2 linked regions of the Drosophila melanogaster genome follow. The protein of the gene in region 2 interacts with the protein of the main gene of each other region in a pairwise test. Each region holds a gene or a part of one and is shown on either strand. Other genes may lie near its edges.

Evidence for each region.
Region 1: the proteins of comt (region 2) and Nrx-1 interact in a two-hybrid assay, tested with the Drosophila melanogaster proteins (one study listed by BioGRID).

The regions. Positions count from the first base shown.
Region 1 is NT_033777.3:22,467,418-22,472,640, reverse strand, and holds the start of Nrx-1 (neurexin 1), read right to left. Parts: upstream 3,164-5,223; 5' UTR 2,157-3,163; coding exon 1,251-2,156; intron 1,123-1,250; coding exon 646-1,122; intron 581-645; coding exon 269-580; intron 205-268; coding exon 88-204; intron 33-87; coding exon 1-32. Other genes in the region: CG5377 (uncharacterized protein), read left to right, coding at 4,659-5,223. UniProt on the Drosophila melanogaster protein: Neuronal cell adhesion protein involved in synapse formation, development of synaptic active zones, synaptic regulation and visual function. Plays a role in cell adhesion between the pre- and the postsynaptic cell.
Region 2 is NC_004354.4:13,257,347-13,263,290, reverse strand, and holds comt (comatose), read right to left. Parts: upstream 4,271-5,944; 5' UTR 4,046-4,270; coding exon 4,037-4,045; intron 3,956-4,036; coding exon 3,867-3,955; intron 3,789-3,866; coding exon 3,570-3,788; intron 3,497-3,569; coding exon 1,868-3,496; intron 1,787-1,867; coding exon 1,628-1,786; intron 1,560-1,627; coding exon 1,427-1,559; 3' UTR 803-1,426; downstream 1-802. Other genes in the region: CG15742 (uncharacterized protein), read left to right, coding at 5,056-5,667. UniProt on the Drosophila melanogaster protein: Required for vesicle-mediated transport. Catalyzes the fusion of transport vesicles within the Golgi cisternae. Is also required for transport from the endoplasmic reticulum to the Golgi stack.

The sequences.
Region 1 (5,223 bases), on a different chromosome or scaffold from region 2:
CCATTCAGCAGCTCAATGGCAATCAAAACGGGCTGATGGATTCAAATTATGCAAAATGGCTCAAGATAACCTAATGAGTAGACTCACGTTTTTGGCCCGTGGTTGCTTGGATCCTGTGGCCAGGACAATGATGCCATTCGGTTCTTTGGTGCGAAATTTGAAGCTTATAGAACTCTGCTTGCCAGTTTCCCAGGGAGGAAGGACCTTTAAAATAACAATCAAATATTAATTCATTACTTTTCGTATTTTCATACAGGTTTCAACTTACCAAATGCGATTCGCGAGTGGTGAAGGTCACGGGATCCTGTGGATCGCCACTGGGGCACTGATATTCCAGATTGCCAGCAACCTGGATCAGCTTGGAACCGCTCTTGGCCAGGTCTATGAGGTTCAGATTAAGCGTATCCGCTGAGAACTCCACCTTGCGCAGGCAGCCCACGAAGTTAGTGTGCACACGGGCACCCAAAAGCGCTCGAGGATTAACAGCACCACCAACGTAAACCCGCGAGGAGGAGAGCATGGTGAACTTGCCAGCAATGTGGGAGTGATCCGTATAGACATCATCCACCACGGTAACCAGCTACAGGGATAAAAAAAACTCCATTTCGAATAAAGAACCAAGAAAATCTATGAACAGTTACCCACCCGACAGAAGCTGGTTATGGAGGAGATCTCCTGAATGCGACGGTGCACGGTGACTTTGTGCCACTGGTGGTCGTCGAAGCGCACCTTTGAGGGCTTTATGTGCATCTCCTGCTTGCCATTAGCCAGACCCATGGTCAGGGAGACGCCTCCATCACGCAGCGCCAGATTTAGATAGTCCGTGCCGTGGCCAGTGTAGAAAAGCAGACCGTTCGGCTGGCGGGTGCGAAAATAGAAGGATATGGCATCCTGGGCGCTCACTATCGGCTCGGCGCCCGTCTGGCCCAAGTCGTAGGAGAGGAACTGTGTACCGCGGAACGTTGCTTCCGATGGCGCCTTCTCCTTCTCACAATACTGGCCATCGTACTCGAGGTTTCGACACTCGCAAATTGGACCGGAATCAGTGGATATGCAGATGCCGCCGTGCTGGCAAGGATCATTCCGTTCACAGGCATCGGTTGTGTTGCCACCCCGAACACCCTGCAGGATTAAAGGATTATTTACCAAATCAGGGATACATATAAATAGAGGCTTTTTTCTTATTATCAATATCATTTAAATAGAATATAAAAAGTTGTATTGTGTATATCAATGACTAATGGACTCACCCTGAGCGGCCTTTCACGGGCGGGCAGCTCTCCGTGATCGCAGGGCACATCGCCGCACTTGATGTCGCGCTGCTGCTTGATCTCCTGGCGCCTGGTGGAGCCGCCCGGCTGGTCCGCGTAGACCAGATTGCGGATGGCGCCACGGAAACGCGGTTCGAAGATAACGGATGGCAGGGCGAGCAGGGCCAGCTTGCTGCTGTACCAGTTGGGCATACCGCCCACATAGACGTCCGAGTTGCTCGCGAACTTGCCGAACTGGAACTCCTTCCCCTTGGTCGATCGCTGCTGGGAGACGCCGTCCACGATGAGCGATGTCTGCTCATCGTTCCGCAGGACCTGCACCTTGTGCCAGTGGCCGTCGTGCAGTTCCCGACCCACGGTGATGATTTGAGCTCCGCCACCAAGGTTATATCTCAGCCGCAGTGCTCCTTCCACCAGCTTCAGTTCGAAGAAGTCGTAGGTGCCGCCGTCGTCGGTGTAGAGAACCAATCCGTTGGGCTGTTCCGTTTTGAACTCCAGTTCGAGGGTCCCATTCAGTCCGGTGTACCACTTGCGGAAGGTGTAGAAGGAGTTTTGCGATCCATCTAGCTGGAATCCGGCGCTGAGCGTCACGAAACTGGCCGCCAGACTGACCAGCAGGGCGCTGACGATGAGCACGCGGTAGGAGCGACGGTATTCCACGACCACGGGAGGCACTTGCTCGCTTCTCCGCCGGCGGCGAGCCTTGTTGAACCGCAAGTCGGGGGATTCAAAGGCGGAGGTGGAGGTGCGCTGGGCGGGCAGGAGCCTCAGCTCCGCCTGATTTCGATTTCGCTGCTGATCCATGTCCATGCTTGGCCGTGTCCTGGCTGTCATGGCCGCATCAGCATAGTTATCCTGATATGTTGCACTATGTGGCGCCTTCATTCACACGCACGGTGGCACTCGGGCTTACCCACACAGAGGCACCTACGCACGTTGCGCGCGTAAACGTAAAGTGTCCTTCTCCCTCTCTCTCTCTCTCACTCGCTGTGTTTCTGTCGCGTATTCCAGTCCTTGAGCGCGAGCTTTTCGCGTGTCCTTGTGTTGGTGTTACTCGGCAATCCGTTTTATCCGCGCCTGCCAAGAGAGAGCGTAAGAGCGCGCGAGAGCGAAAGCTCGGCCACGCGAAGTTGGCTGCGGATGTTAACGGTACACGTCGACTGTTAACGGCACTGCACCGATTATTGCTTATGATTTCGCCTGATTTTTTTGGTCCTTAATGTTCAGCACCTTCAGTTTTCGGCATTTTGTATACTTGATTTGCATAATTTTTGGCAATTAAATTCAAAACGGCGCATATTTTGCATCGATACTTTGTCAGACAACCGTTTCTCCGACCGAGTCGGCTGTATTAGTAATACTGGGGGTTATGGTTGGGCCAAAAGCTCGCCGGATACCCCTGCCACCGCAGTTTGTGGCGCCCACGAGCGCTCCATCGTACATGTACATACTAAAAATCGGAAAAAATTTTCACTGCATATCGCAAATGTAGGCGAAAATTTTTCTAAGCACCTCACAGCAAGTGCCCCTAAAATGGGCGCTTTACTGCGGTTGATTCCACAGCAATCAGTTATTTATGCGTATTGATTGAACTATTGATTGGATACGAAATTAGTTGCAGAGACTGCACACAGATTTTTCAATTACACAATTATTCCTTTGAATTTGCACGATATTCTTGTCGCTCCTGCTTTATGTAACTTTTCGGGCTGGATTTTAGCGCGACGCGTCCTTTTCGTTTTTGTTGGTTGGTTGAATTTATTTTTGCAGATTTTTCGGTTCAATTTCGAGGGATACAAAAATGTTGTGTGTCGAAATTTGCTTAGCAGCGCCTTCCGCTGCTTTTAGCTCCGATATCGATCCGCGCTGCATCCACGACAAGACTGAACTGCAATTTCAAACTTAATTTCTTCGCACTGTTTCCAATGGATAACGAAAGCTCCGCCAGCTTATTCACAAAAAGCCACTGGTGCGGTCTAGGCGACTCGAAAATGGCACTACAATCGAACTGGACAAAGGAGTTTGTACCTCACACTACTGATTTTACATTTAGACAAGTTAAAATCGTTCAGAATTACTGGAAATCTTGAATTTAATGGTTTATATTGGTACTTTGTTGATTTACCCGAAAAAGTGTGCTACGGAAAAGGAAAGCACCGCACGCTTTGAGTGTAGTGTGTGGGAATGCCAAAAATTAAAAGCTCGCTTACTTCGCACGAGGCATGCATATGTGTACTACTAACACACAAACGCACACATAGACACCAGCTGCCCACTCACACATGCGTAATAAGCGAATAGCACGCAGGTTCATAACCTGCACCACTAAAGCGTATTAGATGCCACATTCACATGGATACACACATATGCATGTTCAGCTGTGTGCGTGGGTGTCCTGTGGCCGCACGCACACTCACACACACCAACTCAAGCTGACACCCCCCCGGGCTCACTATCTCCGAGACGACCCGTGTAAATTCCTTGACATTTACTACGCAACTTCGACATCTCGGAGTCGAATTCGATTTGCATTTGCATTGGCAGTGGAATGTGATGTCCCTTACTCTCGATTGTGGGTGTATGTCCTGCCTCTGTCAAATCCCATCACCCTGCTCCTTCGTCCTAGGAGAGCAATTGCAAGGCCGTCGCCTCCATTAATCGTCGTCGCAGTCCAGGCGAACACATTAATTTGAGCACACGAATCACGCACTGACCATTACAGCAGGGACCAGGATCCTGCTATTAAGCACTTACGGTTTTTAATAATATTTTAACGCACGCTAAAGGCTAAACAAATGCCAGCACGTGCTGTCCATTGTCCTTCGGAGTCGTGACGTTCAAGTGGACTAACAAGGACTAAGATTGGGAATGCCAAAAGCTGGGGGAAGAGCGAAAAGCTTAAAATCAAACTGAGCGGCAGCTCTTGAACTTTCAAGGGCTTTTAAACTACCATTATTTTAAAATCTGTGGAGAGTTCGGCATTGTCAAGTAATATTCTTCAAAATGAATGGAAAAATCTTTTAAATTTCAGGAACATTCTTAAAAATGCAAGTGCATCACCCAATGCCTAAATATCAATATGAAAATATTTTTCAAATTATTAAAAAATTAACGATTCTTTTAAAATTAGTTTTTTGGTATATTTACTTTTGATTTAACGGTATATGGCATCATCGCACCTACAGCCACACTAATTCGATCGTTTACTTACAGCTGTTCTTATCAATCAGCTGTTATCAACGGATCTTTATCAAGTGCACTTTACAAGGCGTCGTGTGTAAAGATTAGAATTTGCCAAATATTCCTCTCTGGACATCTGAAGAGCCCTTGAGAAGCAGCTAAGTTTGTTGCCATACTCCAAAATCCCCGTTAGATCCCGCTTACGTAATGCTGGGCAATCTGTGCCGGCTTGTGGGTGCCCGTTCCCCGATCACCAGGCGCTTGCTGCACACGGAGCGGAAAGTTCGTGTGAATGGCTCAGATTTGAACATTGTGGAGAGCGGCAGTGGGGAGCGGAGTCTACTCCTGATGCCGGGAGCACTGGGTTCCTCGTGGACCGACTTTAGGCCCCAGATCGAGCAGCTGCCGAAACTGCTGCCGGGTCACACCATCATCGCCTGGGATCCGCCGGGTTATGGCAAATCAGTGCCGCCGCAGCGCAAGTTCGGCCTTGAATTCTTTCGGGAGGATGCCCAGGCAGCCGTGGATTTGATGCGTGCCCTGGACAGACCACGCTTCTCCATTTTGGGCTGGAGCGATGGGGGCATCACGGCGCTCATAGTCGCAGGTCGCCATGCGGAAGCTGTGGATCGCCTAGCAATCTGGGGAGCAGGTGCCTACTTGAACGCTGACGAAGTCAAGGCTCTTAAGAACATTCGGGATGTGGCCAAGTGGTCGCCGCGCATGCGTGAGCCCATGGAAAAGGTTTACGGCGTCGAAAGATTCCCCCAAT
Region 2 (5,944 bases):
TCCTTAAAAAAAAATGAAATCACAAATGTAACTATTAATCTAAGCGAAGCATATGCCCTTGCCATTTTTATTTTCTTATTATTCACCTGTTTTCTCTTTTCAATACAGCAGATTTTTTGAAAAACATACTTTTGAACATAAGCTGTTTCGTATGCAAGCCACGTAATTGCTGTTACTTAGGAATATATATATACGAATTTTTCTTGGGTTCCAAAAGCGTTACAATACGCTCTGTGTTAAATCTGTGCTTTTATTTTAATTTTCTATTTATAATTTGGCAAATTGGCGATCTCCCCTTACCTTACCTTTTTTTATCTTTCCTGAATTTGTTTTTTTTTTACCAAAACACGAATTATGAAGAGGATTCTACTAACAAGATGAAATATTATTGTTGCGCACTGCAAAAAAAAGGAAAAAATAATGAATAATTCCGTAAGCTGAGAAATAGTTAAATAACGGTTTTAGCAAAATAAAAACGAAATCAAATATTTATATTTTGTTTATTGTTGCACAAATAAGTCCAAGGAACGAGAAACAAGAAACAATTAAGAGTAATATTGTGTGTCGCTTTTTCTAAACGAAATAAAACAAAGAAATCGTCAAGAGAATTTTCAAAATGTGTTTGTTCTATTTTCATTGCTGTTTCATTTGAATTCAGAATTCAAAGTAATTTATACAGAATGGTAATCTGTGGTTGCAAGCTGAATGGGATTACTAGGTTTTTAAACATGAATAAGAATACTCCCGACTTTAAAAAATATTTCTTTTTTTTTAACTGCAAAAAAGCGAGCTAGTTAAAATTGGAATTTAAGTTTGTTTTACTTTATTCAAGATATAATTATAACATTGGCGGTTAACAATATTTGATTTAATAAATATTTAATTAGTTTAGTTACCGATAAACAACGTTCACAATGCCCAAAGGCAAATACTTTGGTGTTTTCTCCCGTTTTTTCGTTTCCTATTGAGAATTTACTGAAGCAAAAGTCCTAAAATTAAAAGGTAACGAGAAAGATTATCATGCCTTTAACGAGTTAGTGGCTACGCGTGTTAATTATTTATAAATGTAATTGAGTATCTGTCCATTTAAGCCATATATTATGTCATTTATATGCCATCATCTTCAGGTCACGGGTCTCACATATCTGTCTGATTTGATTGAGCTCTGTGGGGGAACTCAGAAGCACACGAAACTCCTCCGGGATGTGGATTGTGATTTTTATCTGGGCTTTGGGACCGAACAAACATCGCGAAGCCTGGATCGTATATATATATATAACTCTATATATCTGTGTATATGTTTAGCGGTGTATATGTACGTGTACATTGAGATTCTGATTTGGTTTCATCGCTATTCATCGCCCGTCCTTAGCACTTAGAAGCTAATAATTGAGACTCCATTTGGGCACATGCAGTTTAAGATGCCTTACTGCCGCGCCACCATGTCGAGACCACCCTCCTCTTCCATCTTGGACAGGAACTTTATGGCCCGCTGTGATTGCTCCGTTTGCCTAGCCATGTCAATGAGACCCAGCAGCTTCTTGATGCCAATAAACACGCTGGTCGAAATGGATAGGTAAATTAGTAAATATTTATAGGACTTTTTCTTTGGAATCATATAGCTTACCGTTTTCCGGCCATCTTCTTGCCAATCGCCTGGATTTCGCCCTTGCTAAAGATATCCGTGTTCTCCAGCACGGCCAGAACGTGGTCGGGCTTGGAAAGATTGGGCACGTGGAGCACCGAGGTGAAGGCCGTCAGCATCTCCATCTCTTCCAGGACCTCCCTAAAAAAAAATAAAACAAGTAGGAGTAGTAAGTACTGGGTAATCTCGACAGGGAAATCCCGAATCTCAACACACACACACCTCCTGCTAGATGTGCACAATATGAGCAATTTGCGGCCCTTTGGCGGCTGTTTCTTGAGCAGCACCAGCAGTGCCTGTAGCGTCATATTGGAATATCGCGGCCCAATCGATCCGTAGTCCAGCAGACGCTCCACATTGTCCACCACAATGCAGCTAAGCATGGAACGATACGCGTCGTCGAAGATCTTACGAATGTGCAGGCACTTGGCCGATTCAGTGTAGCCGACCATGTCCTCTGGCGAGCAGACCTTCACGAACGGAAAGTCTGACATCTTGGCAAGCTGAGCGGCCAGTGCCGTCTTGCCAGAGTTGGGTGCTCCGGCCACGAGTACGGAGACCAAGCCGCTAGATTCTGGAGCCTTGGCCTGCTGCACATACAGCATGCCGTCCTCGAGGAGATTGCTAACCGGTGCTCCCCAGTTGATAACACCGCGGGCCAGCATATTGTCGAGAATCTCCTGGGCCGTACCGAATGCCGGCTTAATGTCATGCTCCAGCGAGTGCAGGAAATCATCTCGATTGACCTTTAACTTTTCCATGGCCTCAGGATCAACGGTCACCTTGGCATCGGCCTTGATCAGTCGGTTCATGGCACTCGACTGGGCGGCACGGACCAAACCCTCCAGCTCGGCACCGCTGAAATTCTTGGTCAGCGCAGCGATCTCCTTGTTGTCCACATCGTCGTTAATCTTGTTGAATTCACGCATCCGCTTGGTGTGGATATTGAGAATCTGGACGCGACCCTGCTCGTTGGGCAGGCTGATCTCCATTTGGACCTCGAGGCGACCCGGTCGCAGCAAAGCCTCATCGATCATGTCCCTGCGATTGGTCATGCCGATAACGAGAATGTTGTTCAGCTGATCAACGCCATCGATTTTGGTTAGCAACTGATTGACGACGGTGTCGTGGACACCACTATTTCCGGCCACGGAGCCACGCTGCTTGCAAATGGCATCGATCTCGTCGAAGATGATGATATGTAGTCCACTGTTGGGACCCAGGCGTTTCTCCTCCTCCTCCGCCTCGGCAAACAGACGCCGGACATTGGCCTCCGATTCGCCCACGTACTTGTCCAGGATCTGTGGACCGTTGACGATTTTCGGCTCCCGGGCGTTTAACATAGTTCCGATTTGGCGAGCCATCAGAGTTTTGCCCGTACCCGGTGGACCATAAAGTAGAATGCCCTTGACATGCTTGCAGCCCAGCTGCTCGACCAGTTCCGGTGGGAAGACACGGGATGCGAAGGCTCGTCGAAATATCGAATTGAATTCCTTGTCCAGGCCACCGATGCCCATTTTGCCAAAGTCCCAATCCGGGTTTATAATGGACTGGCGGACCACCTTGCCCTTGCTCTTGCCCTGCAGATTCAGCGAACTGTTCTCGGCCTTCTCGAACTGCACCACGGTGTTGCCAAGGATGCGGCCGAAGCGGACATTACGCATCGCGGTGTCCTTGCCCTCGCCCAAGCTCTTGGGATCGATGGCCTCTAGGGATTTGACGGCCAGGCCGAGAAGTTTCTTGTCCTTGAAATTGAAGACCAGTGATTGGCCAACGGTGAGTGCCATTCCGGCGAATTGCATGATGAACTCCTTGGCCATTTGATCGGAGTCATAGGGTTCCTGGGAGACACTGCATAGGATGGTAGATAACAATCGATATTACATAATATCCTTGACGCCGTATACTATATATATGCACTCACGTCTTCTTCTGCAGAAAGTCCGTCTCAAAGGACACACAAGTGATGACATCCGAGCTGGCATCAAAGCGATAGGGACGAACCTCCAGTTCCTGATTAATGGACACCATGGCCCACTTTCGTTGGACCAGGGAGAAGCCAACATAGCCGCTGGGCACCTCCACCGTTTTCTCCAGCGCAAAGATGAAGTGCTGACCCGGAGCCGGCGATATGTCCGCATATCTGCAAGCGATGCAAGTGGGAATTATATATATATATATATACAAACAATGGACTTTTATGCCCGTTAGGACCACATACTTGATTTCCTCCGGAAAATCACCAACATTCACTATAGCCCGATTGGTCAGCGAAAGCTCGTCCGTGGGACATTTGGTGGCCTTCAAAATCTACGGAAACCATTATAAATCTTTAGTAACTAGTCAAAAATAGTGCCGTAGTGCCTATAAATATTGGTATTTCAAACTCACATAAGCCATTTCTTTAGATTCTTGCTGATTTTCACGGGGTTGTTTAGAATTTGACAAAAATCAATAATTATAATCCAATGGAAGTACTTTAATGGTCAGAAAACGCAGCTTTGTGTGCGAATTAACGTTTGATATTTGTTTACAGTATCACTGAAACAGCATAACTATATATATATATATTAATTTTTGAACGAATTGTGAACTATATCCTTTCTGAACTTTCAAGGAAGATGTGATCTAAAATTTTATTCAGCACATGCGCCTAGGAATCCAGGGCTGGCGAACTTGTTAGTACATCCATATGGGATTTGGTTTTTAAATATACGTTTCTTTTGCCAAGTTTAATAACTAACGACTCGTATTTGCATGATTTTTTTTTTTAATAATAATAATTAAATTTATAAAGCAAGCGGTTGATTTTTTAAATTGGTAGAGTGCTCGAGAGCTCTTTAATATAAAAGTTGTATATGTATAAATATTAATAAATTCTCGCCGGGCTTTTACTAACAAAAAATGTAATCATTTAATTTTTTAAGATTTTCCGGTAAGAGAAGTCTTAAATTGCTACCGCATTTATACCAGAAAATTCGTGGTCCACAATAATCGATTTATCGATAATATCCGACTGAACGAAAATTCAAATCTAGTGTGCGAGGAAATTTAGAGACGAAAGTTTACGTATTTAAGCGTCCAGTAGTCATTGAGTTAAGTGTAGCTACCTGATTCGGATAATTAAGTACTTTTACTTTTTTGGGAGCACAACAAAATTTTGTTCTCGTTCTTACTTTTACACAGCAAAATTTTATAATTTTTTAAAATTTTTCTGCCGGGCTGTTCGACGAAGCAAAATCAATTTACCAGTACTACGACGGTGAGTGACGATGCCAATCGCTAACTTTCTGTACACACGTATGTTACCATTCCGAGAAAGTTTCTAGATAACAAACACGGCCATTGCAGCTTACTTGTATAATAAAACACATTTCTAACACGCTTTTTACACGACAAACCGCGGTTCGATGTCAAAAGTTCGATGCAATAAGATCGACCACTGCTTGCTGGGCGCAGTTCGCGGCATTAAGCCGCCCTATCGCTCGGTGCGTAATGCCCAAGACGGCGTGATTAGCACCTTCCTGGACAAGTACAGTAGGCCCAATTATTTTGCCATCCGCTTGGTGATACCCGCCGAGTTGCCACCCATCGATCTGGCCGAAATACTTATGGACATGCTAAAGATGCAAATATTGCGCCGCAAGAATTGTATCGCGTCGTCCAATTGGGTCAGGATGAAATATATATGTCAATACGGCAGCAAAGCCGATGAGACGTTCATCATGCATGACAGTGCCATGAGAAAACTGCAGCAGGCCATTGAAGAGCTCACCAATCTGCTCGATCAACTGAAGCTGGCGTATGAGCCCGTTTCCTATGGACGGATAGCCGTGCAGGCTCAACAGTTGGATAAGCGGGCCCAGATATGGCAGAATTTGCTCAACGGCCGCAATGAGCAGTTGGAGCGCCGTTTAGCTCGGGACATTTCACTCCCATATCCTCCTGCAATAGATGCCCGCATGCGCATTTCGAAAAGTTATCAAGTTATCAACCATATGCGCACTTGGCGTTTCGGCTAAGGTCAGCAAATTAGAATTTGGTCGAATTTGTTTGTATATCAATATGGTCACTAAAGATGCTGCTGTGATATTTTACCTTGCTTTTGGATATATATACATTTCTTTGGATAGCATCTACCTGGACTGAGACGTTCTACTGTCATAGTGATTCTGATGTCGTATGACTTCTATATTAACTTTAAATTAATCGAGTGCAACGCATGTCGAGATTAATAAATAACATATCAACAACAAAACACAAACTTTGACTTACCTCCGCGCTGCCCGAATTGCAAAC